Linked DNA regions of Pelodiscus sinensis. The protein of the gene in region 2 binds, or shares a complex with, the protein of the main gene of each other region. Links are inferred from orthologs where the notes say so. Each region holds a gene or a part of one and is shown on either strand. Other genes may lie near its edges.

Region 1 (7,650 bases), on a different chromosome or scaffold from region 2:
ATAATTCTGGAGCTAACGTTGTGTCAGCATTTCTGCTGTAAACCCTTCATTTAAGGGATTTAGAAAGAAAATACAAGAACTAAATGAGGCATCAGCAGGTGATTATTTTATACTACCATTTTGTTATTTAAGACTAATCGCTGAACGAGTGAGTACAGCACAGGCCCAGAATATATGGTCATAAATATTTTACTATATATATTTGTTACTATTTATTAATTGTATGAGGTGAAACCTAAAGGCAGGGATCAGGGTTCCATAGTGCTAGTGTGTATATAATAAAGCATACCATGTACAGTATTCTCATACATAAGACAAGGAACATAAAATTCACCTGGAAAGGGATTGGCTCACATATATGGACCACTCTTTCAGGTTCAGTTACAATGAATGTAAGAGCTACAGAAGACAGAGGTGAGATGAAGAAGGGATGAGTTATTACCAGGCCAGAAAGAAATCTGCGTGGGAGCTCAAGACCACAGCGGGAGCCGCAGCTTTGCTGTTGAACTTGAGCAACGAAGCAGGCCAGAAAAAGAGATGTAGCTGCAGAATTTGTGTACCTGACATGTCTATGGAGACACTTAAAAGTGGACAGAGAGATAGCTTACTGATCTTTTCATATTTGTTCATTTTTTTAATTGTATCCTTTGGTATATATGGTTGTGACTACTTTCTTCCACTATTTGATCTGAGGAAGTGGGTCTGGCCCACGAAAGCTCATCATCTAATAAACCATCTTGTTAGTCTTTAAAGTGCTACATTGTCCTGCATTTTGATCTTTTGCAGGTATCTTTATCCCCAACAAGGCCACTACAGCTAATGATCATTACACAATAACTCTTGAGTGACATTGTGGCTGAATTTGTCAATGGGGCTTTTGCTATTTACTTAATTGGGGTCTGGATTTTACCCCTTAACCTTTCCAAAGGAGATAATTTAGGGCCCATTATTAAAATGATGGAACCCCTGGTTTTTTTTTCTAAATTCATAAAAATAAAGGACAATAATGACTCCAAGGAAGAGAAATACCCTCAGAGAAGGACATGCCCTTTGCAAATGAGCAGCATGTGTATTTAGATGAGAGTGCCCTCAAATTTCTGAGCTGATGCGAATTGGTTAGCCCTTAGCTGATGTGTATTGGTTTGTCACAAATAAGGAGGTTTAAAGGGAAGGTTCAAACTTCAGCCTCTTGTTTCTCTGGTTCCCTAAGCCCTGTTACATAGATGGTTACAAATCCCTCCTCTTGTAACTACACTGATCTTAATGGAATTACACCGTGGATTAGATTTACATATGGGAATAACTTTACACTCAGGAGTAGCCCCTACATAGATTGTAGAATCAAGCCCCAATGTATTATTATTGTTTGTATAACGCCCAACCTATAATTCCCAGACAGGTAGGAACACAAGTAGTGCTTCTGCTTAAGCACTGAGCTCAAACTGCTATATCCTTGTGAAGATAATACTTCAGCCAGAAGGCTTGGTTTTCAGAAGTGCTAAACATCCACAACTCCGACGGAAGTATGTGGCAGCACTTCTCAAAATCAGGCACTACATCCTTATTTACACTGGCTTGCATCCACAAAGTGGGTAACGTGTCTGGATTTCTGCACGAACCCTAAAGACATACAGTCCATCAGACATGTAGATGTATGCAAACAAATGTGTCTAGCAGCACACATGTGAAGGTCTATCTGTATTTTCCTACTGAAAAACAAAAGTATTAGGCTTATCATAATTAAGGGAAGGAAATTGGCATGGAATGATGAATTGGACCATAATATTCCCTTGTAGATTCAGGTGCAGTAGTGTGCTTTTGATCTTGGAAAGTACTTGAGGCTCTGAGGCACATGCGGGGATCACATAGCACATTTCTACCTGAGATGTCTAGACATCTTTCAGAACTTACGAGCATCATTTGGTATTGTAACTCATTAGTGTTAATAATTATAAGAGATGGGGGAAGGAGGTGGGGCAATAGCTTTTATTGGACCAACTTTGTCAGTCAAAAAGACAAGTTTTCAAGCGCTTCTTCTCTGTGCAACTCAAAAGTTTGTCTCTTTCACCCTCAGAAGTTGTTCCAATCAAAGTTATTACCTCACCTACCTTGTCTCTCTCATATCTGTTTGAACCAGCAATAACAGTACTGCAGATAGTAGTCATAGGCATATAAATCCATCACAGTTTGGGTACATCTGCACTTGCTCCCTAGTTCGAGCTAGGGATGCAAATGTAGGCGACCGAAATTGCTAATGAAGCAATGCTGGCATGTTACTCAACAGCTGATTTGAAAGTGAAAGTGCGTGCTGGGACGCGTTAGTTCGAACCAAATCCCAGGGCTCTAAAATATCACAAATCAGAAGCCTTATAACATAGTCCGAAATGACTTTCTGATATAGATGTAGTAAACCTACATCTCTTTCTGATCTCAATCCAATACATGAGCATCTACTAGTGGGGAAAGACCTTGATTTATTGGAACAGATTATTTCCTATCCACTTTCTAATGGCAGATGTCTTTTCTTTTTTCCTCTCCCGTAGAGAGTTTTGAACTTCACAAAACCTAAGAGAGTCTGTGATTACAGGATACCTGTGGGCAGCATTTCATCCACAGGGTGTGGAAAGGGAAGTCAGTGGGCCTACTTGTGTGAGTAACATCAAGCATTTCCATGGGCGGCTGGTAAAGGTAGGGTTGGAGGAGGCAAAACCTCAACCTAGCCCCTTTTGCCTAGGCCACACACCCCCATCACAGGGAGGCTGGGCGGCACGTGACCTGAGCCTACCCAGCCCGGAACACAGAGAGGGCAGATGGCTCCAACCTTTCTGACCCCAGAGCACGGAGTGGCCGGGCACTGGGGGCAGCAACACTCTGACCCCAGTATGCCTCCAGCAGGCGTTCTGGGGGCAGAGTGTGGGCGGGGCCAGGGTAGCAGCTGGGAAGGCAATGCCCTCCCCTGCCTAGTGTATCAGCCGCCCATGAGCATGTGTGCGTTTCCAGGATCAACTCCCAGATTGGGTATCTACAACAGGGAGGATCTTTTCAAAAAGATGCTGGAGTAAACTTACATGCCTCGGTAGCATGCGCTGGGGAGAAAGTTATGTTCTATTATTAGACTACTAGAAGATTTACCCTGTGTTGCTCGGATCCTTAAATCAATTAATTTTTTGGGAAAATAAAATGGACATGTACATACTTCATTTAAACTATTGTTCTGGGGTGAGGCTTGAGATGAGTATGCAGGCTGCCTGGAAGAGAGAGGACTACTCCAGCATGGAGCAGACGTGTCTGGGGATGGGGAGCAGCCGCCCCTCCGCTTCCCCAGCACAGAGGTGCCCCAGCTGGAAGGGAGGCACAGTCCTCTGCCGGCTGAGAACAGAGTTGCCTGCCCGCCCTGAGCCCTCTTTCAACATTCGCTCAGTTACGTCAGTTTTGAGGACTGTACTTGATTTAGTGATCCTGTCTCTTTTCGGTTTGGTTTTAAGAGAAGCCAATCCCATTCCAGGCACATCCATTTTCCTGGAACAACCAAACTCTGACATTGCTTTAAGTTACGATAAGAGGCATACTGAATTTGGTGGGTCTAGTTCTTACCGTGTAGGAGGTGTTCTTGAACAAACAAACAGACAAACTCAAACAGATAGTAGATAGTGAAGTGTGATGTTTGCTCACTATACGTGAGCAAACATCTGAAAGTATGAGAGCTTTGACCTGATGTCTGGCTCTTGCTAACGTCACTCAGGACGGCAGCATGAAGGAGCTGGTGAGAAGTGGGACTTGACACAAGTGTAGCCTTCCTAGAACACCAATACATGTAGAATCAGGACACCTAGTTCCCTAAAATAAGTCTGTATAGTAATCTCACCGGATAAGCATCACAGGGGAGGAAATATTCACCATTTGCTCATTTCTTCCCTGTCCCATTGGCGATTATGACAGACTTGCCCAGAGTGGGGAAAGAGGGGTTCAGGAGGATCTCTCATTATGGACGAAGCAATTTAAATCATTTTATGATATAGGAATCTGCAGTCTCCCTGTGTGTCTTTTTTCCCATTCCAATGTTTTAAATTTCCAAATATTTATTTTTCAAATGATTCATTTAAAACATCTCAGAAGCTTGAGAACCCTGCAGAATACTTTTAAATCAGGTAAGATATTTATAACTATGTTCTACCACTTCCCAATCCAACCAAAACACCCCAAAACATACCCCTCCCCTACCCGGTCTGTAACCCAGACCTAACCAGACTGGCACTGATGATCAGAAACCACCAATCCCTCCAACCTTCCTTAATTTTTTTCCTCCTTTTTTGAAAAAGCCCTATTTCCTACTTTCCAGCAGCAGACAGAAAAGTGGGGAGGGAACCTCATCTGTCACAGTCTATGCAGATTAACCTTTCAATTAGCTGTTCTCAGGTTCTGTGTCTTAGCACCAGCGCTCCAATCTGCGTCCATTTAGCATCAGGAAGGCTTGAGGTTTAGGGTGGTTTTTTAAAATTAATAATAGTCATTATTTGTTTTAATGTTTTCCCTTTGCTTCCCCACATCCTGACAGGAACGGTTGCAACCCATTTTTGTATGTATGATCTCACTCCCACCCCTCTTTTTTTTTGGTGTGTGTGTGTATGTGTGTGTAAGAAGAGGAGCCCTACAGAGGAGGAGGGGAGACAAGGTATTCTCTCTATATTATTCTTTTTTTTTTTCTTTTGCAAAGGGGTTTAGAAAAGGTAACTGATGCAATCAATCCGTTAACTTGGGATTCCCCCCCACCCCTTCCTTGTCTGTCTTTCCTGGCTGCGTTTCCTCACTGTGTATGTGTGAGGGGGAGGTTGTGTTGTTGTTGTGTTCCTGGCTCTGGTTGCAGCCAGGAGAGAGGAGAGAGAGAGAGAGAAGCGGCGATCGCGTTTCAGGGGCAGCACATTCCGCAGGAACCGCTGCTGCAGAAACACACACAGCCAGAGAAAGGAGGTCATTGCAAGCCAAGGGGGGAAACCTGCACCGGAGGTTAGACTCGTAGGAGTTTATGGGCCGGGGGGGGGGTGGTAACAGGGAGCATGCGATGGATTTTGTTTTGCATTAGGTGACAGGCTGCAATTTACCATAATAACCCTCTTCCCCTCCTCTCTGTGCAAGGGGCTTGTCACTTTTTTTCCCTCCCCCGTTTTTTTTTTTTTTTTTTTTTTTTGCATTGGAGGCTGATGCACGTGTTTGCAGACACTTGTGCTCGGCAAAGCATTGCAGCGTCCCCGTGCATGTTGCAGAGGAGGGGATGGCTGGGGTGGGTGGGGGAGGGAAGGCAAGGGGGAGGGGGGCTGGCTGGCTTTTTGTGTGTTGCATGCGCCCACCCTAGCCTCCTCCGCAGAAGGGGTGACAGGGAAGTCCTGGTGCTTTGCATGGGGAAACTTGTAGGGACCGGCATGTGGCGTGGGAGCTGGGAGTCATTGTCACCCCCCCCCCCCCCGCCCCGCGGCCCCTCCATGCGCGCTGAGCCGCTGCTAGTGCCAGGCACCTCGGGAGGGTGATGCTGAGAACACGCAGGGTCCATCTCGCCCGCCCGCACGAGTGGCAAGATCCGCGGCACGCGCGTGAAGCTCCGTATTTAAGGCTGCGTATTAATGTGTGTCGCGCGCCCGCCCTGAAGTATTGGCTCGGCGGCCGTCGCTTGTGTCTCTTGCCAGCACTCACCTCTCGAACAAACTTCAGGAGCAGGCGGCGACGGGGAGGGGGAAGGGGCGGGAAGCAGGCGGGATTGACGGGCGCGGCAGCCAATAGGAGGGCGACGTTGCGAGATTCCTCGCCCCCACTCGTAATCTGCTGCCAATCGCTAGAGTTCAAGGCTGGGCCAGGGGGTAGCCGGGTCCCCGCGGGTGTTTGGCGGCGGCAGCGGCCAATGGCTGTCCACGGGGCCTCCCCCTTGGCAGATGGGCGGGGCTCCTCATAGCGGCGGAGGGAGTGTCCCGTGATTGGCACGCCCCGCCCTCCAATGGGGAGCCTGGCTGGCCGCTGGGCGGGGCGCGCCGCTCCTGCGGTCGGCCGATGGACAGCGGGGGCGGCCAATGAGCGCGGCGCGGCGCGGCCCAATGCCGAGCGGCGGTGGGCGGGGCTTGCGCCGGAGGGCGGAGTCTGTGTGTGTGGTGGGGGGGGGGAGGGTAGGTAAGGTTTTAATGAGACTCCATTGGGCTGTAATCAGTGTCATGTCGGATTCACGTTAACTACAACAGGGTGAAACAAAATGGCGGCGGCTTAGGTGAGCCCAGCAAGCGCCGCCGCCGCAGCAGGGCGGGGGGAGCCAGCCGCAGCAGCAGGGGCGGCAGCTGCCTCAGCCTCGCAGCAGCAGCAGCAGGGGGAAGAGCCAGCAGCAGGGGGAGCAGCCGCAGCCGCACCTGGAGGTGGCTCCTCCCCTTCCCAGCCCTGATCCCCGCCGAGGTGAGTGGTACCCTGAGCGGGGGAGGGGCGCGCTGTCCCCACAGCATCCCTCCCCCAGGGCAGGGGGGGGCAGGTCTCTCACCCAGGCACCGCCTCGTGAGGGGGCAGCCCACGGGGATGCTGCCCTCCCCGCCCAGCCTGCTAACGTGCAGGAAAACGGGGGCGAGGGGGGGCTGCCTGCCTGAAGAGGGGTCTCTTTTAAAATGATGCTCCCTTTCCCCACTAACAGCCCCCCTCCCCGTGATAGCTGAGACGTGCCAGTCAAGTCCTTCCCCCCCCTTGGCTGCCCCAATATTGCGAATTTCAAAATGCTGCCTTGGAAACACTTGGTTTCCAACGCGTCCCCGCTCAGAACTTGCTCGTGGAGAATTTCATATTCCCCTCCCTCCCCCCCCCCCTCCACAAACTTTGCCTTTCAATCACGCCCAGCCCCTCAAAAATAGGTCTCCAACAAAAGCAGCCACCCCAGACCAGCCCTGGAGTCGGAATAGCCACTCCTCGCAGTCACTGATGACTTCAGATCACTGTCATGGTAGTAACACCTTCAGTGCTTTTAAAAATGAGGGGAGGTAGGGGAAGAAGGTGGGAAGGACAAACGTTCAGTTTTGTTGCTGTCATGTGGTGGTGGTGGTGGTGCTAGGGTGGTGCTTGTTGCTGTCATGATGTTGTTGCTGATTTAATATGTGATCTTAAGCTGGTTTGTGGGATATTGCAGCATACAAACACTTCATCAGGTCCTGGTTTACACTTGCTGCTTTCCAAGAAATTAAATAATCCCTTGATTTATTCCTTGCAGCGAAACTTACGAATGCCTCTCCCTTTGCAGTTAGCTAAGGTTTATGCAAGTACCAGTTCATTCACTTGTCATAACTAAAGGTATATACTGTGTGAAGAGAAATGAAATCACTGGCTCCATGATCTGAATAATTTTAATTTAAAGAGTGTTATATGCACTGAGAGTTCCTCTGACTTTTTTTCTTTAGTGGTTGTATTTATTTTGAGAAGGAAACCCATGTCTTGAATCTTTAATTGAGCAGCTAGAGGAAGGAATTAGAATTGATGGGCTGCATAATTCAAAATAATAGGCTGGATGAAAGGAGTGTGGCCAAGAGAGTTTGTTTAATGCAATGGCAGTTTTGTCGTCTTTCTCCACTCCTGCTGCAATCCTTACCTGACCCTGATGCTGCAGCAGAGAGCTGGCCTGCTGCTCCTGCTTCTGCTGTC
Region 2 (6,991 bases):
CCAGGTAAAGAGAATGGCAATTCAGTTTATGGGGACTAAATTTAGGGTTAATCTAAAAAAATTCAAGGACAAGGAAAATAAAATGTCCCCTCTAAATGTCAATAAAATGTATATTTCTTTGTTTTCTTATAAGGTAGTAAAGCCATTTATAAATGCATTAGTGCATGAGAACCTGACACTGAAATTGACAAGTTTAGTTTCGTCTTATCGGATAATGATGATAAATAGCACAATAAATGAATAGATTTTTTTAAATCAATTGCAATAATCTATCATATAACTACTTGGTGTTAATGTTATTCTAACCTAAAGATAATTTTTATATACACCCATTTATATTTACATACCCCATCACCACACCTACAAACAACAATGACATTGATCAATGAGGTTACTGTCTATTTCCTCAAATTGGAGAAGAGGGGCAGTGGCTATTATGACTGAATATAAATTTTACCAGCTCAACCGTGCCACAACCATTTTTCTACATATTTAGTCAATGAAAAGCCAGGGAGGCTACGTCTACACTGGCTCCTTTTCCGGAAGGGGCATGTTAATTTCAGCTATCGTAATAGGGAAATCCGCGGGGGATTTAAATATCCCCCGCAGCATTTAAATAAAAATGTCCGCCGCTTTTTTCCGGCTTTTAGAAAAGCCGGAAAAGAGGGTCTACACTGGCCCCGATCCTCCGGAAAAAGCGCTCTTTTCCGGAGGCTCTTATTCCTACTTTGAATAAGATCCTCCGGAAAAGGGCGCTTTTTCCGGAGGATCGGGGCCAGTGTAGATGCTCTTTTCCGGCTTTTCTAAAAGCCGGAAAAAAGCGGCGGACATTTTTATTTAAATGCCGAGGGGGGTATTTAAATCCCCCGCGGATTTCCCTATTACGATAGCTGAAATTAACATGCCCCTTCCGGAAAAGGGGCCAGTGTAGACGTAGCCGGATAGTACTAAAGGATAGCAAGCCATGCAATGGCGTGGGGCCAACCCCACAGTTGGCTTTTTGAAGCTAAGTTGCTTAGGCTTTGTCTTCAGCTTCAATTGTGGGCAGCAGGATTCGAATTCCAGCTTTCTTTCCTTGGTCCCAGCAATATAATGTTGTTCCCGCTCTATTGCTTATTTTGGCAGAATCTGCTTTCAGCCCCTAAGAGAGCCCCAGATTCCTGGTGGAGAACCCCTGCTACAGAAGACACTACCATATAACATAAGTTTTCAGGAGAAACTGTTTGCTTTTTTGCAAGCATAGTGACAACCATGGAACATGTATCTCATAACGCCAGCAGCTTTCCTCCCAGACTTAGTGCAAATGTCACAAATTCTAAATAAGGGAAGACATCTGCCACAAAGTGATGAAAAAGCACTTCCCAATAATGAGATTCGAACAGTTATCATGTACGTTCTCAAGCACCTTCTCTTACATTTAGATTAAATTTTGGCCCAATCTGGAAACAAATGACAATTTAGCATTTAACCTCTTAAAAGAAAACAAGAATGCAGGAGGGGAGAGCACGCTACATGTGGAAGTAGTTTTAACAATATCTATCCTAATTTTGTATAGTTGTAGTTTGGGTGACTAAAAATGCCTTGAGACCCTAAAGTACAATAAGGATTGCTAAATTTACCATAAAACAGAAAGAATTCATAAAGTGTTACACAGCTCAGGTTTGGGGTACTTCTTTCCTCCTGTAAAAGCAGCACAAAGGCTAAAGAAGATGGAAACAGAACTTTTTTTTTTTGAATGACAATTTGCTGAGGTAGCTTTCATGACAAAAATGTGAAGATGCAGCTATTTACGTGAAATGCAATTTATGTAGATGAAGCACTGCATGGTAAGGGGACAGGTGAGGGGAGAGCAGGTTAAACCTACAGCGCAGCACTCTAATAGACCTTTGTAAAGGCTGCCAATTCCTTCTGCAAACATGCAGTGTTGGGTCCTTTGCTACCTTGCTTTATTCGTGGCTCTCAACATGCATCATCTGTGGACCATGGCAAAGAGATGGAGAAAAAACTACCAAGGATGCTGCAAACAGTCCATTACCACCAGCCATATTCATTCGCAGAGAAGCCAGTGGCTGACCCCTGAAGAAATTATTTCATTCCATAAGTGAAAATACCCGTGATAGGCCTGGGCTGGACCAGGCAAACCCTCCTGACATCATCAACCCCAACATCTCCGGAGACAACCGGCACCATTCCCCAAACTAGCTCCTCCTCTCCCCTGAGCTCGGCCCGAACGGCTTCCTCCCCAAGCTCCCCCCACGCACAAGCAGTGGACGGTTCCTCCCCACGCCCCTTATCCCTCCCACACCCTGTTCCAGCACGAACACTTCCTGCCCACGCCCGTCACCGCGCTACCCACACGCACGCCCCTCGCGCGAATGGTTCCTGCCCGCGCCTGTCACCCCCGCGCGAATGGTTCCTGCCCAGGCCCGTCAGCTCCAACCCTTCCCGAGCCTCGCCCCACCCCCACCCCACAATACTGTCGGCCCACAAACATGGCGTCCAACAAAACAGCTTGCGCTGCGCCCTCCCCCGCCCGCTGTGCCGGGCCGCCTCCGCCCGCTCCCGCCACCAAGCCGCGCTCGCTAGGCCCGGCTCTGGCCGCGAGCCGCCGGCCCCTCTGCGCCGCCCGGCCGCACTCACGTCGTGGGAGCCGCTGGAGCGCGGCTGACAGACCCTCCTCCTCCTCCTCGTTCCGGGTCGACACGGCGGCCGGTCTAATGGCGGGGGTGGCCCCACCGATGCCGCTGCCTGGTGCCGTTCCCAGCAGCCCCGGGCGGCCCAGCGGGCGCTGGCGGTGCCGTGCTGCCTTCGGGCTGCCGGCGGCGGGTGCGGGGCTCCTGCTCGAGGCGCGCGCGGCGCATTCGGGAGGCGCGGAGCTGGTCGCAGTCCGGCTGCGGGCTCGGCTCCGTCCTAGGGCTGAGAACCGCCCCTCCCCCCTCGGCACAAACAATGCGGCTTCACCACAGCGCAGCGCCGGCGGGGGGACGGAACGTGGGAGCGCCAGTCCCAGGCACCGCCCCGCCGCCGTGGGGGAGGGGCCTTTCCGCTCTCCCTCTGCCCTGTGTTGCAGTGGGCGGCGCTGCCTGACACGGGCGGGCAGGCCATGGCCGATCTCCATGGCGCCCCAGCCGTCGGCCACCTCCCCGAAAGTACGATGGGCTTAAAAAGAAACGGAGGAGGCTAAGCACCGCGTCTGCTTTAGTTTGGCTTCTCCTCTGTGCCTGTAGGTGTGAAAAATACAAGTAGAAAAGTCACCCTTTAATACACACAAAATGCCCACCTCTGCCTGGCTGCTGGGGGAGCCTCAACTTCCCCTCTGGTCTCTACGTAGAGCCAAACTCCGCATTTCCTATTCCTGCCTCGACCCTGCAGCTACATTTTTCTGTCAGCAGCTGGGCTGGGACTTTTGCACCTGGACTCTAACAGCAATAATGTGACCCCCCATTGCCTCCTACCAGTATTCCCTCAGCTCTAAGACCATATAGACATGGCAAAGCAGGTCTGTGGCCCTAGTTCCAAGACTGTCCCACATAACTCTGCCCACATGTCCAGCCCTGAAAGTTGAGGAATAGGCAAAGAAGCATATTTTGTATCATCAGAACAGCTCCTCTTGTACTTTTTCCTCTAGCTGCTTCAGACTCCCCCACCACTAACCTCCAGGCAGGTAAACTGCTATTCCATCCATCTCCTCCCCCCACAAAACCTGGCAGCATTACAAACCCTAAAAGTGCCTCTTGCTCCCCCTTACTCTCCACATCTGATTTACAGTGTTTTTGCTGCTCCTCACAGTTCCTATCTCCTCTCTAGCCCTCAGGTCCCTAGTAGCATAGCAGTTTTTTTTGCCTGTGGGCCTGGCTTCAGTATGACTGAAAACAGTATGAGTTGACAACCAATTTTATGAAGTCTCGGAGGGGTAGCCATGTTTGTGTGTAACAAAAAAGGAAGTGGTCCTGCAGCATCTTAGGGATTCGGGTTTTTTAACTTTATGAAGAGAAGCGTCACCTCATGCAGATGGAATTGAGAGAAATAGCCCGTAATTGACAGTAATAGGGAATGGTAGCGGCAGTTTTGAATAAGAAAAATTGTGAGCTGGCTTTTTTCATCATGTTGTCATAACACAGACAAAATAACATCACAGAATTACTAGGGTTGTGATAAAAAATCAAGTGTGTTGGCAACACTGACACAGGCTTTGCCTGCGTTAGCGATCACTGCACAGAACTAGCAATAGCTCTCTCCAGCTCCAGAGTAAGACGGACCCATAGGCTTTTCTCAACCATAAAGTTATTCCTGGGGAAACAGAGGCATTAAGTACCTCAATATCACATTAAAAATTATGCACGTAGAAAAAAGACATTATATAAAAGAGTGGGTAAAATATACTTAGGCCTAGTTTATATAAGAGCAATTAGGTAGTTTGGCTGCTGGTTGCTGTTACAACTGTAATACATGTTAAATACACACAAAAGTGCTCCCATTTTGGCTGGGACAGTCCCCTTTTTTTAAGTCCTGTCCTAGCCACCCCATCTTTTTTGGTAAAAGTGGGCATTTCCCCTGTTTTCTCTTAGGCTGCGTCTAGACTGGCATGATTTTGCGCAAATACTTTTAACGGAAAAGTTTTTCCGTTAAAATTATTTGCACAAGAGAGCGTCTATACTGGCATGTGCCTTTGCACAAAAGATTTGCTTTTGCACAAAAGCATCCGTGCCAGTGTAGACGCTCTCTTGCGCAAGAAAGCTCCAATGGCCATTTTAGCCATCGGGCTTTCTTGTGCAAGAAATTAACGTTGCTGTCTACACTGGCCCTCTTGCGCAAGAGGACTTATCCATGAGTGGAAGTGTCAGAGTACTTGCGCAAGAACCACTGATTTTGTACATTACAAAGTCAGTGTTCTTGCGCAAATACTCACGGCCAGTGTAGACAGGCAGACGCTTTTGCGCAAAATCATGCCAGTCTAGACGCAGCCTTACTGACTTGATTAGCTGGCAAGAGCAAATAAGACAAAACCAACTTTTGTCAAAAAAAAGTGGGGGGGGAAGCAGTATGGAGGAACAGGAGGATGGGTGAGTGGAGATGCCAGCCCCAACCAGAGGGGGAGCAGCATGAAGAGGGCCAGCAGTGTTCCAGCATCTGGGCAGTAGCCTATGCAGGATAGGTAGGGCTTGGGTGAGAGGCTGAGAATGTCCTTTTTCCCTTTGGGAAATATGGTCACACTACATTCAGCTGTCACAAGAGCATTTTGTTATCCTTTTATAGTCCCCCTGTAATAGAGAAGGACAGAATTTTACAGACAATAGTTAAATTCACCACACACTATCATGTACACTAAATGTGCTATGGTTCTGTGGACTATTAGTTGTAACAATAATTACACAATTACTTGTAATTAAATATTGAATCATATTGTTTTCAAATACTGAATTAAGCTTTCAGGGCAATCTTGGTTGTGATATTTTCTGAAATTGCTAATTGAATGTTCCTTTAATATAATGTCCGGGAAAACAGAAATTCCTTCATGTCAAATCTTATCGGCCCCTTTTTTCTGGGCAAACTTACCATCCTGGTCCAGCAACCAAACAATTAATGCAGGTACTACCTGCCAATGCTAATTGGCAGTCCCAGAGCAGCTGGGAAAATAAAAGACTTGGTAAACAGCAGGGTAAAGTGGCTACCAGTGGAGTATGGTAGATGGAGAAAGCAACTCCTGAGCAACTTACTAACAGAGACAGTACCATAAGAAGGAATAAGCAAATTAATGGTGTGAAGTCTACAGAAAACCAGGGAAGGCAGCAAGGAGGTCAGAGAGTTGCCTACCTCTGAGTCTATGTTCAGGATAGGATGGTCTGTTACTGTGGAATGTTCTTTTGTTCAGTCACACATCTGAGCAGAGTATCTCCAAGTGTTATCTATTGACCCATTGGATGCTTTTAAAGAGCAGTGGGTGCTGTCAGGGGATGGGGTTCACCTTTTGAGGAAGGGGAAGAGAGTATTTGGATACAGAGTGGCTAACCTACTGTGGAGGACTTTAAACTAGGCTCAATGGGGGCAGGAGACCAAAGGCCACAGGTGAGTGAAAAACATGGAGACTTGGGAGATGAGTCAGAAATGGGAGGGAGCATGGGCTATATAATAGCAGAGATAAAGGAGGGACAAAGCAGAAATGGAGGGCAAAAACAAACCAGTACCTCAGATGCCTGTATACAAAAGCAAGAAGTATAGGAAATAAGCAGGGAGAATGTGAAGTGCTAGTAAATAAACACATCTATGAGATAGTTGGGAACAGAGACTTGGTGGGATAACATGATTGGAATATTGGTATAAAAAGGTACAGCTTGCTCAGGAAGGATAGGCAAGGAAAAAAGGGAGGAGGTGTTGCCTTATAGTTAAAAATGTATACACTTGAGGTTGAGACGGACACACATGACAGATTTGTTGAGTCTCTGGGTTAAGCTAAGAGGGGTAAAAAATAAGGATGTCGTGCTGGGGTCTACTACAGACCATCTACCTAGGCAGAAGTGGATAAGGCTTTTTTTTTAAACAACTAACAAAATCATGCAAAGCACAGGATTTGGTGGTGATGGGGGACCTGAACTGTCCAGACATCTGTTGGGGAAACTAATACAGCAGGGTATGATTATCCAACAAGTCCTTGGAATGCATTGGAGATGGTGGTTTGGTTGGTTGGTTGGTTTTTGTTTTTTTTCCAGAAGGCTGAGAAAGCTATTGGAGGGAAGCTGTTCTCGATTTGATTTGAACAAATAGGGAGGAACCAGTTGAAAATGTTAAAATGGAAGGCAGCATGGGTGAAAATGATTATGAAATCAGAGTTCATGATTCTAAGGAATAGTAGACGGAAGAACAGCAAAACAGAGACAATGGATTTCAGGAAAGCAGATTTTAGTAAGCTCAGAGAGCTAGTAGGTAAGATTCCATCAGAAGCAAGACTATGAGGAAAAACAATTGGAGAGAGTTGGCAGTTTTTTCAAGGGAC
Region 3 (7,246 bases), on a different chromosome or scaffold from region 2:
TGAGAAACTGATGCTGTAGATCAGTGTTTCTCAACCAGTAGTACAAGTACCCTTAGGGGTACTTTAGAGAAGTCTGGGGGGTACATCAATACAACTAAAATTTGGAGAAAACTTGATTTTTTGTTTTAAGTTTTACAGCCCTTTATTGTTTTTGTACTTTATACACTGAAAAATGTCATCACCCGCCCGGCTACGATTAAGTTGTTTAAAAAATGTGTTGGAATGGTAGAAAAAAATTGTGTCTGAAAACTGTAGGTACTGAGAGTCCTTTTTTTTAAGGGGGTACTTAATTTTTTTAAAGGGGTATTTTATTAAAAAAAAGGCTGAGAAACACTGCTGTAGATTACTAGATCCAATGGTTATCTTCTGAGGAAGTGGGTCTGGCCCACAAAAGCTCATCACCTAATAAACCATCTCGTTAGTCTTTAAAGTGCTACATAGTCCTGTCTTTTGTTTCAACTAGACCAGACTAATATGGCTGCATCTCTATCACTATTCTAATGACCCTGATTGATCTATGTAACAGGACAAGCTATGAAAGAAGTCATTGACCGGTCTACTGACAGTTGTACTGATGTAACTATGTTGGGTGGGGATGTGATTTATTTTTAAATGTTAACTGTTATACTAGTGCAAACTGTGGATGCAGTTATTCCCCTTCCTGTAGAAATAGCTATATAGAGATTCAGAGGGGTAGCTGAGCTAGTCTTTAACACGAAAAACTTAAAAAACAACAAATAGTCTAGTAGCACCTTAAAGACTAACAAAACATGTAGATGGTATCATGAGCGTTTGTGGGCAAAATTCACTTCAGTATAACAAGTCCTCCGGTCATCTGAAGAAGTGGGTTTTGCCCACGAAAACTCATGATACCATCGACATGTTTTGTTAGTCTTTAAGGTGCTATCGGACTATTTGTTGTTTTTTAAGTTTATATGAAGATTGTTCATCTTTACAATCACAATTGCATCCACACTAGAGGGGTGTACTGATTTTATCGCTTCAGTACTAGGCAATTTACTTGGCGTTGCCCGGGTCCTTACCTCAATTAATTTTTGTTTTTTTGGAAAATAAAATTGAAATGTGTGTGCTTCATTTAAATCATCGCTCTGGCATGGGGCTGGGGACGAGGGGTTCAGTACGCAGATGGCCCAAGGAGAGCGAGGAATATCCTAGCCCTTTCTCACTGCAGCTGCTTGGAGCTGGGTAAGAAGCACCTCCCCATGGCCACTGCAGCTCCAGTGAATAGAGCTGGGAGAGGGGTGCAGGTCTTCCCCCTGGGGCAGGTCCAGGTTCATCTGCCCCCTGTACTCTCCAGCCAGAGTGAGGAATATAGCAAACTGTGCACTTTCCTCTGGTTATCTGACAAATGGAAATGACCAGCAATGTCCCTGTATAAAAGAGGTAGGGGTGGAGAGCTTCGCCCCCTCACCCACTCTACCTGAAGGGCACCTGGGAGATGGAAGACTTGGGGCTGAGGCAGACCTGCTGGGTGGGGAGGTGGAAGGGGTGCAAGTCCCCCCATCCAGCCCCTTTCACCTTCCTGGTGATTGTCTCTCTTCTGTATGGTTTTATGAGAAGCAATCCCATTCCAGGCACATCCCATTTTTCTGGCACAAGAGGAAGCTGTATACCAAATTTGGTGGTCCTAGCTCTTACCTTTTAGGAGGACTTCTTGAACAAACAGACAAACTCTCTCAAATATATAGTAGATTAGAAGACTTACCCAGTGTTGCCCAAGTCCTTCAGGGCAGGAGGCCTGAGGTCTGCAGAATATAGGAAGGTCGCCAGGGACTCTCCCTCCCCTGTGGCGAGGTGGCCTGCCAGGGGCTCCCTCCTCCCGGGGCTTGCCCTTCCCCCTCTCCCTTCCTGGGGCAAAAAGGGGCTGGCAGGGACTGTCTTCTGTGCATGGGGGCCCCATTTACCCCGTTGGGTGGTAGGCAAGATGGTGACCCCTTTTCTCACTGGCCGCTCTCAAGGTGATACAGCTGCCCAGTTTCTCTGTACTATTGATCCTCTGTGCTCCCTGCCTTCCGTGAGTATAGCATCTCTCCAAACAGCCCTTCCCTTTCTGGAAAAGTCCTATTCTCTATAATTCTCATTTTCCTGGCACAACCAAACTCTGACCTTGCTTTAAGTTAGGAAAAGAGGAAGCTGCCTACCAAATTTGATGGCCTTAGCTCTTACCATTTAGGACTTCTTGAACAAACAGACTCACAGACAGATGCATACAGTATTTCTAAAATATATACACAGCTAACACAGTGCAACTTTTCAGTGCAGACAGGGCCTTATTGGCACTCCTGTGTGTCACATAGTTTAATTCTTATGCTAATGGTCTAAACAGGGATCCTGGATGGCTCTCAAACTATCTTCCACCTTTTAATAACTTAACCAACCAACGGAGGTGCTAATGGTTCTTAACTGACTCCTGTAACTACTTGAACTATCTACTCACCATCTACATGTTTTGCTAATCTTTGAAGTGCTACTAGAATAATTGTTGTTTAAGTTTTATCTACTCATATCTCTCTTTTTCTTCCTCCCCTGCCCTTTTTCTCTCCCCCCTGCCCTCCCACCTTCCCTTTTCTTATTTATCCTTGGATCTGGACTCATTATACTCCAGTCATCTGAAGAAGTGGGTTTTGCCATGAAAGCTCATGATACCATCTACATGTTTTGTTTGTTTTTAAAGTGCTACTAGACTATTTGTTGTTTTTTAAGTTTTTACATACTTTATTAGCTGGTGTCAGTAACTTGAATCTTCAGCAAAAATGGAGCAAATGAAAAATGGATGTAGCTTTAGTATTTCTAAATCTTCAGGAAAGCAAGTGGTATTGCATAGAAGTCAGAGAAGAAGGTTCATGTTTCATATGCAGCAGGAGCAGAGCCATTACAAGCTACAGTATGTTTCAAGGGAACAATGAAGGACATTACACACTTCTAAATAAACTTATTTTAAAAACTCAAGAACATTCTGATCTCTCCAAGAATGTTCCTTAGGAGGTACGTTTTCTTTACAAGAAACTTACTGCCAGGAAGAAAAAGCTGATCATTTTGCCAAACAAAATCATGTGAGTTTGCATAGTTAGTAGCCAGGGCTAATTAAAAACAAGCTTATTTGGAGTACACCTGATAAGATTACTGGAAGGTCAGGAGATGAACCTGACTCCAGAGAACAGTGAGTATTGACTTGGCTAATAACAATAGCTTCCTCTAGGAAAATATTAAACAGTGAAAATACGGAAGGGTGTCCAATTCAAAATAAAAACTAAGGGCTTGTTCAGAGGTGAATGGGATATTGGGGGGGACTGAGGATGGGGTCTTAGTGCTTCTCTGGGAAAAGGTTGGATGAGGGCACCAGAGGCTGCCTGAGGGGAGGGCTCTGTGTGCAGTGTGGATAGGATGGGTGGCTCTGAGTGGGGGTGCTATGTGTACATGGTAGATGAGGTGCAGAATGAATGGGTGTCCTAGTGGTGGAGGGGCTCTGGGTAGATGGACATGAGGGTAGGGATGATGTGGATGGCGTGTGTGGGGGATGCTGAATAGGATGCCAAAAGGGACTCTGCAGGGTAGATGGGGAGGGCGGTGAGGGGGTCCCTGGGCTGCAAGGGAGGGTCCCCGGGCGGTGGGGGGGATAGTGGCGGGGGGCCCCTGGGCAGTGAGGGGGGGGCTCGGCGGTGACTGGGGGTCCCCGGGCGGTGAGGGGGGGCTCGGTGGTGAGGGGGTCCCCGGGCGGTGAGGGGGGGTCCCTCGGGCTGTGAGGGGGTCCCTGGGTGGTGGGGGGGATAGTGGCGGGGGGCCCCTGGGCGGTGAGGGGGGGCTCGGCGGTGAGGGGGTCCCCAGGCTGTGAGGGGGGGCTCGGCGGTGAGGGGGTCCCCGGGCGGTGAGGGGGGGGGTCCCTCGGGCTGTGAGGGGGTCCCCGGGCGGTGAGGGGGGGGTCCCTCGGGCGGTGAGGGGGTCCCCGGGCTGTGAGCGGGGGCTCGGCGGTGGGGGGGGTCCCTTGGGCTGTGCGGGGGGGTCCCTCGGGCGGTGAGGGGGGGTCCCCGGGCTGTGAGGGGGGGTCCCTCGGGCGGTGGGGGGGGGTCCCTCGGGCGGTGAGGGGGTCCCCGGGCTGTGAGGGGGGGTCCCTCGGGCGGTGAGGGGGGGTCCCTCGGGCGGTGGGGGGGATAGTGGCGGGGGGCCCCTGGGCGGTGGGGGGGCTCGGCGGTGAGGGGGTCCCCGGGCGGTGCCGGGCGCGGGGGGTCCCGAGGCGGGCGGGTCTCAGCGCTGCCCCCGGCGGACCCGGCCGGCAGCGCACGCGGCTCCCGCCCCCTCCCGGCCGCTCCCGCCCGCCGCAGCCATCATGGCGGCGCTGCACACCAAGGCCGGGGGCCCCCCCCAGATCCCCGACACCCGCCGCGAGCTGGCCGAGCTGGTGAAGCGCAAGCAGGAGCTGGCGGTGAGGGGCGGGGAGCGCGGCCCGACCCCCCCCCCCGGCCCGTCCGCCCGGGCCGCGACAGGCCGCGCCCGGGAGCCGGCTAGGCCGCGACTCCCCCCCCCCGCCCTGCGCAGCCTCGGGTCCCACCCCCTGGGGGCACCGGCCCTGGGGGGCAGAGAGGATGGGGGGCTGGGGAATGGGGGGTACTAGCTCTGGGAGGGAGAGGGTGGGGGCTGGGGAATGGGGGGTACTAGCTCTGGGAGGGAGAGAGGATGGGGGCTGGGGAATGGGGGGTACTAGCTCTGGGAGGGAGAGGATGGGGGCTGGAGAATGGGGGGTACTAGCTCTGGGAGGAGAGAGGATGGGGGGCTGGGGAATGGGGGGTACTAGCTCTGGGAGGGAGAGGATGGGGGCTGGGGAATGGGGGGGTACTAGCTCTGGGAGGGAGAGGATGGGGGCTGGTGAATGGGGGGGTACTAGCTCTGGGAGGGAGAGGATGGGGGCTGGGGAATGGGGGGTACTAGCTCTGGGAGGGAGAGAGGATGGGGGGCTGGGGAATGGGGGGTACTAGCTCTGGGAGGGAGACGATGGGGGGCTGGGGAATGGGGGGTACTGGCTCTGGGAGGAGAGGGGCTGGGGAATGGGGGGTACTAGCTCTGGGAGGGAGAGGATGGGGGGCTGGGGAATGGGGGGTACTAGCTCTGGGAGGGAGAGGATGGGGGCTGGGGAATGGGGGGTACTAGCTCTAGGAGGGAGAGGATGGGGGCTGGAGAATGGGGGGTACTAGCTCTGGGAGGGAGAGGATGGGGGGCTGGGGAATGGGGGGTACTAGCTCTGGGAGGGAGAGGATGGGGGGCTGGGGAATGGGGGGTACTAGCTCTGGGAGGGAGAGGATGGGGGCTGGGGAATGGGGGGTACTAGCTCTGGGAGGGAGAGGATGGGGGCCTGGGGAATGGGGGGGTACTAGCTCTAGGAGGGAGAGGATGGGGAATGGGGGGTACTAGCTCTGTGAGGGAGAGGATGGGGGCTGGGGAATGGGGGGTACTAGCTCTGGGAGGGAGAGGATGGGGGGCTGGGGAATGGGGGGTACTAGCTCTAGGAGGGAGAGGATGGGGGGCTGGGGAATGGGGGGTACTAGCTCTGGGAGGGAGAGGATGGGGGGCTGGGGAATGGGGGGGTACTAGCTCTGGGAGGGAGAGGGTGGGGGCTGGGGAATGGGGGGTACTAGCTCTGGGAGGGAGAGAGGATGGGGGCTGGGGAATGGGGGGTACTAGCTCTGGGAGGGAGAGGATGGGGGCTGGAGAATGGGGGGTACTAGCTCTGGGAGGAGAGAGGATGGGGGGCTGGGGAATGGGGGGTACTAGCTCTGGGAGGGAGAGGATGGGGGCTGGGGAATGGGGGGGTACTAGCTCTGGGAGGGAGAGGATGGGGGCTGGTGAATGGGGGGGTACTAGCTCTGGGAGGGAGAGGATGGGGGCTGGGGAATGGGGGGTACTAGCTCTGGGAGGGAGAGAGGATGGGGGGCTGGGGAATGGGGGGTACTAGCTCTGGGAGGGAGACGATGGGGGGCTGGGGAATGGGGGGTACTGGCTCTGGGAGGAGAGGGGCTGGGGAATGGGGGGTACTAGCTCTGGGAGGGAGAGGATGGGGGGCTGGGGAATGGGGGGTACTAGCTCTGGGAGGGAGAGGATGGGGGCTGGGGAATGGGGGGTACTAGCTCTAGGAGGGAGAGGATGGGGGCTGGAGAATGGGGGGTACTAGCTCTGGGAGGGAGAGGATGGGGGGCTGGGGAATGGGGGGTACTAGCTCTGGGAGGGAGAGGATGGGGGGCTGGGGAATGGGGGGTACTAGCTCTGGGAGGGAGAGGATGGGGGCTGGGGAATGGGGGGTACTAGCTCTGGGAGGGAGAGGATGGGGGCCTGGGGAATGGGGGGGTACTAGCTCTAGGAGGGAGAGGATGGGGAATGGGGGGTACTAGCTCTGTGAGGGAGAGGATGGGGGCTGGGGAATGGGGGGTACTAGCTCTGGGAGGGAGAGGATGGGGGGCTGGGGAATGGGGGGTACTAGCTCTAGGAGGGAGAGGATGGGGGGCTGGGGAATGGGGGGTACTAGCTCTGGGAGGGAGAGGATGGGGGGCTGGGGAATGGGGGGGTACTAGCTCTGGGAGGGAGAGGATGGGGGCTGGGAATGGGGGGGTACTAGCTCTGGGAGGGAGAGGATGGGGGCTGGGAATGGGGGGGTACTAGCTCTGGGAGGGAGAGGATGGGGGCTGGGGAATGGGGGGTACTAGCTCTGGGAGGGAGAGAGGATGGGGGGCTGGGGAATGGGGGGTACTAGCTCTGGGAGGGAGAGGATGGGGGGCTGGGGAATGGGGGGTACTGGCTCTGGGAGGAGAGGGGCTGGGGAATGGGGGGTACTAGCTCTGGGAGGGAGAGGATGGGGGGCTGGGGAATGGGGGTACTAGCTCTGGGAGGAGAGAGGATGGGGGGCTGGGGAATGGGGGGGTACTAGCTCTGGGAGGAGAGAGGATGGGGGGCTGGGGAATGGGGGGTACTAGCTCTGGGAGGGAGAGGATGGGGGGCTGGGGAATGGGGGGTACTAGCTCTGGGAGGAGAGAGGATGGGGGCTGGGGAATGGGGGGTACTAGCTCTGGGAGGAGAGAGGATGGGGGGCTGGGGAATGGGGGGGTACTAGCTCTGGTAGGAGAGAGGATGGGGGCTGGGGAATGGGGGGTCCTAGCTCTGGGAGGAGAGAGGATGGGGGGCTGGGGAATGGGGGGTACTAGCTCTGGGAGGGAGAGAGGATGGGGGGCTGGAGAATGGGGAG
Region 4 (7,514 bases), on a different chromosome or scaffold from region 2:
CTTTAATCATTAGACTGAACAACCTATTTTATGCAATGCATCCTTGCAATGCCTTTGTTTCTTTCCCTGGCACATTTGTGTTCAATGAGAGAAAATAATGAATGAGATTAACTAAACTAAAGGTATAGATTCACTAAAATTCCTTTAAGTATTAACAAGCCAAGGATATTGTGACTGGCCAGCCAGTTGTGTCTGGTGAGGCTAGGAAGAAAGGTATTTACCCTGAGAGCTCTGACTGAGCCTGGCTGAGGAACGGGTCACGCGGGCGGATCGTCGAGATGTGCCATCGCTTTCAGAGCTGTCCGTGTGCTCAGGATCTGTAGAGAAATCGGAGTCTTCGGTTCCATCTGAACTACTGCCTGCATTCCTCTGTAACACCACAGACCCAAACATTAGCACAGGAGCACTTCCATTCTTATAATACTAAATATTCAATACTCCCTCCTCTCCCACCCCCAAAAAACTAATGACACTCAGGTAGTTTGCTTTGGAACTTGCTTTAATACAATAAACATGAGATATCAGACAGCACCATCCACAATTCAGAATTTTTGCAAACTGGTCAAAATCTAGAAAATCTACAGATAGCACCAATTTCATTTATGAAGATCATACCTGAAGTTTCAAGCAATTCCGACACTTGCTAATTTAACACAAAAGGTACCACACAGACTACTCTCATTCCAGAGTGCTCACTAAACCACTACACATACGTAGCAGAGCTTCCCTTTTACCTCTGAAAGGATGCTCTTGAAAGAAAGTGAAAAAGCAGAGCCAAGACCCAATGCATACTAGTGATGTGCAAGCACTAGCAGAGTTAGCAGCAGGGAAGACAGGAGCCCAGGTCTACACATGCCATGATCAAATGACCATTCCCTTATCCCACTGGGGCAGGGTTTGTGTTCCAGAGTTGGATTGATTGAATCTGCAGGATTTCATGCGATGGCAGGTTCACAAATACAAGTGCATCATCCTGAATCTTCTAGATGCTCCTATACACAGCAGCTGCGTCTAGACTGGCAAGTTTTTCCGCAAAAGCAGCTAACTTGCCAGCTGACTACACTGGCTGCTTGAATTTGTGCAAGAACACTGACGATCTCATGTAAGATTGTCAGTGTTCTTGCGGAAATACTATGTTGCTCCCATTCGGGCAAAAGCCCTCTTGCGCAAATGCTTTTGCGCAAGAGGGCCAGTGTAGACAACGCAGTATTGTTTTGAGCAAAAGAGCCCTGATCACAAAAATGGTGATCGGGGCTTTCTTGCACAAAACCGTCTAGATTGGCATGGTTGCTTTTCTGCAAAAAACTTTTCCGTTAAAAGCATTTGCAGAAAATCATGCCAGTCTAGACGTAGCCAGCGAGTTTGGAGAGGAGGAAGGTGAGGGAGCCCAGGGGAATTTGAGGGGATAAGGGACACCTGAGGAAATCCATCAAGGGCGAGTTTGGCAGTCCATAGTTGTGTGATCTAGAGGGGCATTAGGGAGAGGGGTGAACTAACACAGTCCGAGGCAAGTGGTATAGCAGGAACACTAAAGCAGCCCACAGTGTGTGTGTTGTGTGGTGTGGCGTTATCAGGAAATATTTGAGGAGAAATAAGGCAGCCTGAAGGAAGATGGCAGAGAGACATGTAGCGGGAGAGCTGAGGCATGGGGGGGGGGGGGCGTGGGAGGGTTAATGCAGCCCAACACAACGGGACACTAGAGAGAAGAGTCTGGGGGAAGAGCAAGGCAGTCCCGCGTGGGGCGGCGGGGGGAGGGCGAGGCGGTCCCGCGTGGGGAGGGCGGGGGGAGGGCGAGGCGGTCCCGCGTGGGGAGGGCGAGGCGGTCCAGGGTCGGGGTGCTCCAGCCACTAGCTACATGTGGCGATTTGGCCAGTGGAGCCTGGCTAGTGAGATTCAGCAGCTGCTGCTCCAGCACCGTTTGGACACCAGGGACCGGGGGGGGGAGGGAGGCAAAGGGGGGCGCTGACGGGACAATCCCGGCTGGGGGGGGGCGGTGAGAAATCGGGCGCGCGCCCCGCCCCCAGCAAAGCAGCGACGCGCCCCTCCGCACCCGGCGGCCCGTTCTGTTTTGCACCCGCCGCGTTACTACCGCTCGCTCCGGCGCGCGCCCCCGCCTGGTCCAACCAATCGCGGCCGAAGAGAGGCGGGGCGGACCGGAAGCTTCTCCAATAGAAACGTCCGTGAGAAAAGAGGCCCGGCCCCAGGGCGTGACTGATGGGAGACGCCGGCCTATCAGCGTGCCCCTGGCGGCACCAGAAACAGCCACTCAGGGAGGGCAGCCTGAATGGGAGGGAAGGGAGAGCGAACTGGGGAAACAAGGCACGCGTGGGGAGGCGACCGCAGGGGGCGGAGACGGGCAGACAGCATGTCCAATCACCGCCCAGCAGTACCGCAAGGCTCAGCCAATCAACGACCAGAGCTCCAAATCGGTGTCCAATCAGAAAGTCAAGAAGGTTGACCATGCCCCAGATGAGGGGGAGGGGGAGAAGGCAACCGTTGAGGCGATGAGTGATAGCCGCCGTAACCAATCGGTGCTCAGCAGTCCCTACTGGGGAACCATTCAGGTAGCAAGATGGGCGGGAGCAGGGGGCAGAAGGCCGCTATTTTCACTCGGTTTTCACGGCTGTGGGGGCCTGTTGGGGGAGGGGAGGGAGACAAGGACAAAGCAGACCTACCCCCCTGCCCCGCCCGGCACTCACCTTCCTGCGCGGCATCCGCGGTGGGGGCGGGGGCAGCGAAGGCGCTTGGTCTCCAGTGCCCCCGGCCCGGGACGCGGCGGTGGCCGCCGCGTTCGCACCGCTGGGCTCCGTGGTGACAGCCGTGTCTCTCGCTCTACCCCGCTGACGGTCGCCGCGCGCCAGGCCGCTCCTGCGCCGCCAGCAGAGCCCGTTCCCAGCTTGGTCCCTCACGCTTCCGCCGGGACACGCTCCACACCCCCCCCTCGTCACGTGACTCGGATCGCGCCTCACGCCAGCGGCCGCCGCCATCTTGGATTCGGACAGGTAGGGAGCCAGGCGCGGTGGGCGACGAAGCTGGCGGCGGCCATCTTGGATGTGGGCGCTGGCATTGCCCGGGGGGCCGGCCCGCCATCTTGGTTCAGGGCGCGAAGGAGGTGGGGAGGGGGACACCTCCGTAGCGTCAAAGCGTGGGAAGGGCCCGGGGGAGGCGGAGGCGCCGTTTCCCTAGGAGGCCTGAGGGCTGGGATGGGTCGGGGCCGGCCTCTGAGGCCGGGGCCCGCCATCTTGGATGCTGTCAGTAGAGCCCCTGGCTGGTGAGTATCGGGCAGGCGGGGCTCGGGTACCGCTCTCGAGCCGGCCCGTGGGGATTCCTCCCTGGCTGCTGCAGGCCGGCCCGGGGCAGGCGCCTGGCGAGCGTGGCGTGGGGGGGTGGTTTGTGCGTGCGCCTCGCTGGGGGCGGGGGGCCCTGAGCGCCCCACAGCAGCACCCACTGCCCCAATACACCGCTCCCGGCTCCGCGCTCCCTAGGCTCCGCCCGGGCAGGGGCGGGGAAGTCGCTGGGGAGAATGGGACCCGTCACGACGGTTTAGGGTACCATTGTGGGGCAGGGATAGTTCCTGGCTTGAGCTTTGGCCTGCTAAACCCAGGGCTGTGAGTTCAATCCTTGCGGAGGCCACTTAGGGATTTGAGGCAAAAGTTTGTCAGGGATGGTACTTGGTCCTGCTGTGAAGGAAGGGAGCTGGACTCAATGACCTTGCAAGGTCCCTTCCAGTTCTAGGAGATAGGCAATCTCCATTAATTTAATTGTGAAACAACAAATGAACAAGTATCACAGGGGTAGCCGTGTTAGTCTGAATGTGCAAAAGCGACGAGGAGTCCTGTGGCACCTTATAGACTAACTGAAGTGTAGGAGCATAAGCTTTCTTTGCCCACAAAAGCTTATGCTCCTACACTTCAACAAATGAACAGAATCCTGCTCTCTCCGCGATTACTTTCACACACTGCTGTTCCTTACTCTGCCCTTGAGATTCTGTGAGACAGTCCCTTGAGCATTCTACCTCTCTGTTTCCCCATCTTTCAAATGAGGGTAATAAACATCCTCTATGGATTTTAGGTATAACCTATTAATTTTTATAATATGCCTAATGGAGTAAGTAAAATCGATATGAACAATTATTCATTTATTACTTTATTATGTTGCAAACCTGAGAAGCAGTGAATGAGTGCCTGCCATGAATAACGAGAGTAAAAGAAATAGGGGGAGAGGAGGAGTTAGATTTTTAAAAAATTGTAATTTCTTCATTTCCCACTCAGTTCAACAGATTTCTAATAGGTATGGGAAAACAGATAAAACTTGCAATGTCTTTTTAGCTGATTATCCCTGTAATAATACTTGATAACACTGTTGCACATGAGGCGAGGAGTCCTGTGGCACCTTATAGACTAACTGAAGTGTTGGAGCATAAGCTTTCGTGGGCAAAGACCCACTTCGTCAGATGCATGTAGTGTAAATTTCCAGAGGCAGATATAAATATGCAGGCCAGAATCAGGCTGGAGATGATGAGGTGGATCCAATCAAGGAGGATGAGGCCCACTTCTGGTAGCTGATCTGGAGGTGAGATTTCATTAGCATCATATAGGGGTACAAAGAACTCAAAGTTCTTTTAAAAAACCTCCCACAGTGTTATGAGATGTCAATAAAGCCAAAGCCTTACTGTAGACAGTTATGTAAGGGTAAAAAAGGTCATATTACTTGTTTAGCTCATTTTTGGGGGAACCTATGGTATGAGCTATGTGCATTACACCTCCACTGCAGGTCATGCTGGTATAACTGTAATAGAAAATACTTTCTAGCATAGACAAGACCTAAATGCTTTCCCTGTTCTAGTGCTGATGAGTTACCTATCTACTTCAAATCCTAAACCTTACAAAATTTAAGGTTGTTTCTGCTATACTTTGCGCTGATTAGGCCTCAATTGGAGTATTGTGTCCAGTTCTGGGTAACACATTTCAAGAAAGATGTGGAGAAATTAGAGAAGGTCTAAAGAAGAGCAACAAGAATGATTAAAGGTCTAGAGAACATGAGCTATAAAGGAAGACTGAAAGAATTGGGCTTCTTTAGTTTGGAATGGAGAAGACTAAGAGGGGACATGATAGCAATTTTCAGGTATCTGTCACAAGGAGCAGGGAGGAAAAATTGTTCTCCTTGGCCTCTGAGGATAGGACAAGAAGCAATTGGCTTAAACTGCAGCAAGGGAGGAAGATTTAGGTTGGACATTAGGAAAAACTTCCTAACTGTCAGGGTAGTTAAACACTTGAATGAGTTGCCTTGTGAGGTTGTGGAATCTTCATCTCTGGAGATATTGAAGAGCAGGTTAGAAAGACACCTATCAGGGATGGTCTAGATGGTACTGGATCCTGCTGTGAGGGCAGGGGACTGGACTTGAAGATCTCTCGAGGTCCCTTCCAGTTCTAGTGTTCTGTGACCTCTTCCACCCCAAATGAATCATGATGGCTGATGTTTGGAGGGTTTTACAATCTTAAAAATAGTGTGGCATTCCGTGGCACCTTAGACTAACAGATTTATCTGAGCATAAGCTTTTGTTAGTAAAACCCACTTCATCAGATGAATTGGAGTGGAAATAACAGAGGTAGGGATAGAGATATATGTATGAAGGAAGTTACTTATCAAGTGTAGGAATAGTGTTAATGAGGCCAATTATGTCAGGGTGGATGTGGTTCACGCATAGAAGCTGAGGAGGAGGTGTGAATTACCAAGAAGGAAAATTGGTTACCTCACTACATATTACAAAGGCAATTTAAATCCTTATTCAGTCCTAATTTGACTGTTTTGAATTTGCAAATGAATAGCAGTTCTGCTGTTTCTCTTTGTAATCTCATTTGGAAGCTTTTTTTAGAAGGATGGCTACTTTAAAACTCATTACTGACTGTCCAGGGAGGTTGAAGTGTTCTCCTACTAGAGGTTTATATATGTTAACTTTTGATATTTGTTTTGTGTTCATTTATTCTTTGGCACAGAGCCTGTCCGGTTTGGTCAATATACACAGCAGAGGGGCATTGCTAGCACATGATGGCATTGATCCCATAAGTGGATGTGCCGATGGATGAGCTCCTGATGATGTGGTTAAGTCCTGTGATGGTGTCGCTTGTATAGATATGTGGGCAAAGTTGGCAATGGGGTTTGTTGCAGGGATAGGTTCTTGGGTAAGTGTTTCTGTGGTGTGTGGCTGCTGGTGAGTATTTGTTTCAGGTTGGGGGGGGGGGGCTGTCTGTAGGTGAGGTCAGGCCTGTCTCCCAAGGTCTGTGAGAGTGAGGAATGTTTTTTTGTTGTTGTTGTTTTGTTTTTTAAGGATAGGTTGTAAATGATCAATGATGTGTTTGAGGGGTTTTAGTGGGGGCTATTGGTGACAACCAGTGGTGTTCTGTTGTTTTCCTTGTTGGGTCTTTCCTGAGTACTCATGACTCCTGGGTACTCATCTGGCCTTAGCTGGATGCCCTTTTGTAATATTGAGATTTGATGTATTTGAAGATGGATTATGGAGTCTAAAAGAACGTTTTGATCATCATTTTTAGAAATTTAAGAATTGTACTTTTCACTTTTGCTAAAGTGTGAACTAGTGTTTTGGTCTAATGTGAGCAGTGTTATTCTACCTTGCTCAAATCCTTTTTCAGATTCAAACTGATAAAGAAGCCGTTGCTAAACTGTTGAATAGTGTTTCTGCACATTAATCAATACTACCACTTCCCACCCAGTGGTAGCTGTATTTCACTGGTGGGTGATGGATTTCTCTGTACAGCTTGTACATCAGTTATAGTTTGTAATGTGTTTTGAGATGAGTCTGGCTAAAAAGTTCTGTAACAGCTGACTGAAATTCTATTAAGTCATAGTTGTAAGATGCACACTTAAGATTTTTGTAGAATGTTAAGTTAAATTCTTGCAAATGTGCAAATCTTGTCAAATTACATAGGTCTGTAGAAGTACCAGTGCTGATAGCAAACTATTGGCTAAATGGGATAGACAATCATGCTGTGACAAGACTTGTTTTAAGTTGCTTTGCAGAAGCTAATAGCCAGTGAAGCTAAACAGCATTTTTAAAACTACTTAGGAAATTGCTTTGTGATCCTGATACAGGCATTTCCCGACTTACATTCCGAACACCTGGTTGTAACCCGTTTGTAACTCGATTTGGTAATAAGTTGAAAATATCTTTAAACATGCTGCCTGAGCTATTCGAAAAATTTGACGTACTTGGTTCTCAACTCAAAAATATTATAATATGGTTAATGGGATGTTGGTCGTAAGTCGGTGTGTTTGTAAGTCGGGGAGTGGCTGTATTATATTTGCTTGTTGCTCCCAAGAGACAAGTGGTAGACTGGAGAACAAAGGGCATTTCATAACCAATCAGACATTAATTTTTCATATTTAACATGGCCAGGATTTTATTGTGGTTATAGTTGCATCTTGTTGTTATGGCAGCAGAGCTCTGTATGCAACATGCATAACCATGATGATTACAGCCAGTTTATTGGGCTGAT

What was found.
Region 1: BRD1 (region 2) and KAT6B share a complex: the UniProt entries of both Homo sapiens proteins name them as parts of the MOZ/MORF complex. The link is inferred for Pelodiscus sinensis from reciprocal best matches to the Homo sapiens genes BRD1 and KAT6B.
Region 3: BRD1 (region 2) and MEAF6 share a complex: the UniProt entries of both Homo sapiens proteins name them as parts of the MOZ/MORF complex. The link is inferred for Pelodiscus sinensis from reciprocal best matches to the Homo sapiens genes BRD1 and MEAF6.
Region 4: the proteins of BRD1 (region 2) and KAT7 are in contact, whole or in part, in a crystal structure (PDB 5GK9), measured with the Homo sapiens proteins. The link is inferred for Pelodiscus sinensis from reciprocal best matches to the Homo sapiens genes BRD1 and KAT7. Residues at the interface, in XP_047297239.1 of Homo sapiens: Val40, Ile42, Glu43, Ile44, His49, Arg50, Ile51, Ser52, Ile53, Phe54, Asp55, Pro56, Leu57, Glu58, Ile59, Ile60, Leu61; in NP_008998.1 of Homo sapiens: Leu531, Phe534, Gly536, Lys537, Glu538, Ile539, Ser540, Ile541, Lys542, Pro552, Val553, Val556, Gln560, Leu565, Tyr567, Lys571, His572, Leu573, Val574, Leu575, Lys576.

The regions. Positions count from the first base shown.
Region 1 is NC_134718.1:7,809,122-7,816,771, forward strand, and holds the start of KAT6B (histone acetyltransferase KAT6B), read left to right. Parts: upstream 1-4,648; 5' UTR 4,649-4,672; intron 4,673-4,865; exon of another isoform or gene 4,866-5,004; intron 5,005-5,685; exon of another isoform or gene 5,686-6,040; intron 6,041-6,132; exon of another isoform or gene 6,133-6,426; intron 6,427-7,650. UniProt on the Homo sapiens protein: Histone acetyltransferase which may be involved in both positive and negative regulation of transcription. Required for RUNX2-dependent transcriptional activation. May be involved in cerebral cortex development.
Region 2 is NC_134711.1:34,679,494-34,686,484, forward strand, and holds the start of BRD1 (bromodomain-containing protein 1), read right to left. Parts: upstream 3,001-6,991; 5' UTR 2,641-3,000; intron 1-2,640. UniProt on the Homo sapiens protein: Scaffold subunit of various histone acetyltransferase (HAT) complexes, such as the MOZ/MORF and HBO1 complexes, that acts as a regulator of hematopoiesis.
Region 3 is NC_134735.1:9,831,221-9,838,466, reverse strand, and holds the start of MEAF6 (chromatin modification-related protein MEAF6), read left to right. Parts: upstream 1-4,245; 5' UTR 4,246-4,345; coding exon 4,346-4,441; intron 4,442-7,246.
Region 4 is NC_134739.1:15,008,678-15,016,191, reverse strand, and holds the start of KAT7 (histone acetyltransferase KAT7), read right to left. Parts: upstream 3,002-7,514; 5' UTR 2,988-3,001; coding exon 2,700-2,987; intron 370-2,699; coding exon 222-369; intron 1-221. UniProt on the Homo sapiens protein: Catalytic subunit of histone acetyltransferase HBO1 complexes, which specifically mediate acetylation of histone H3 at 'Lys-14' (H3K14ac), thereby regulating various processes, such as gene transcription, protein ubiquitination, immune regulation, stem cell pluripotent and self-renewal maintenance and embryonic development.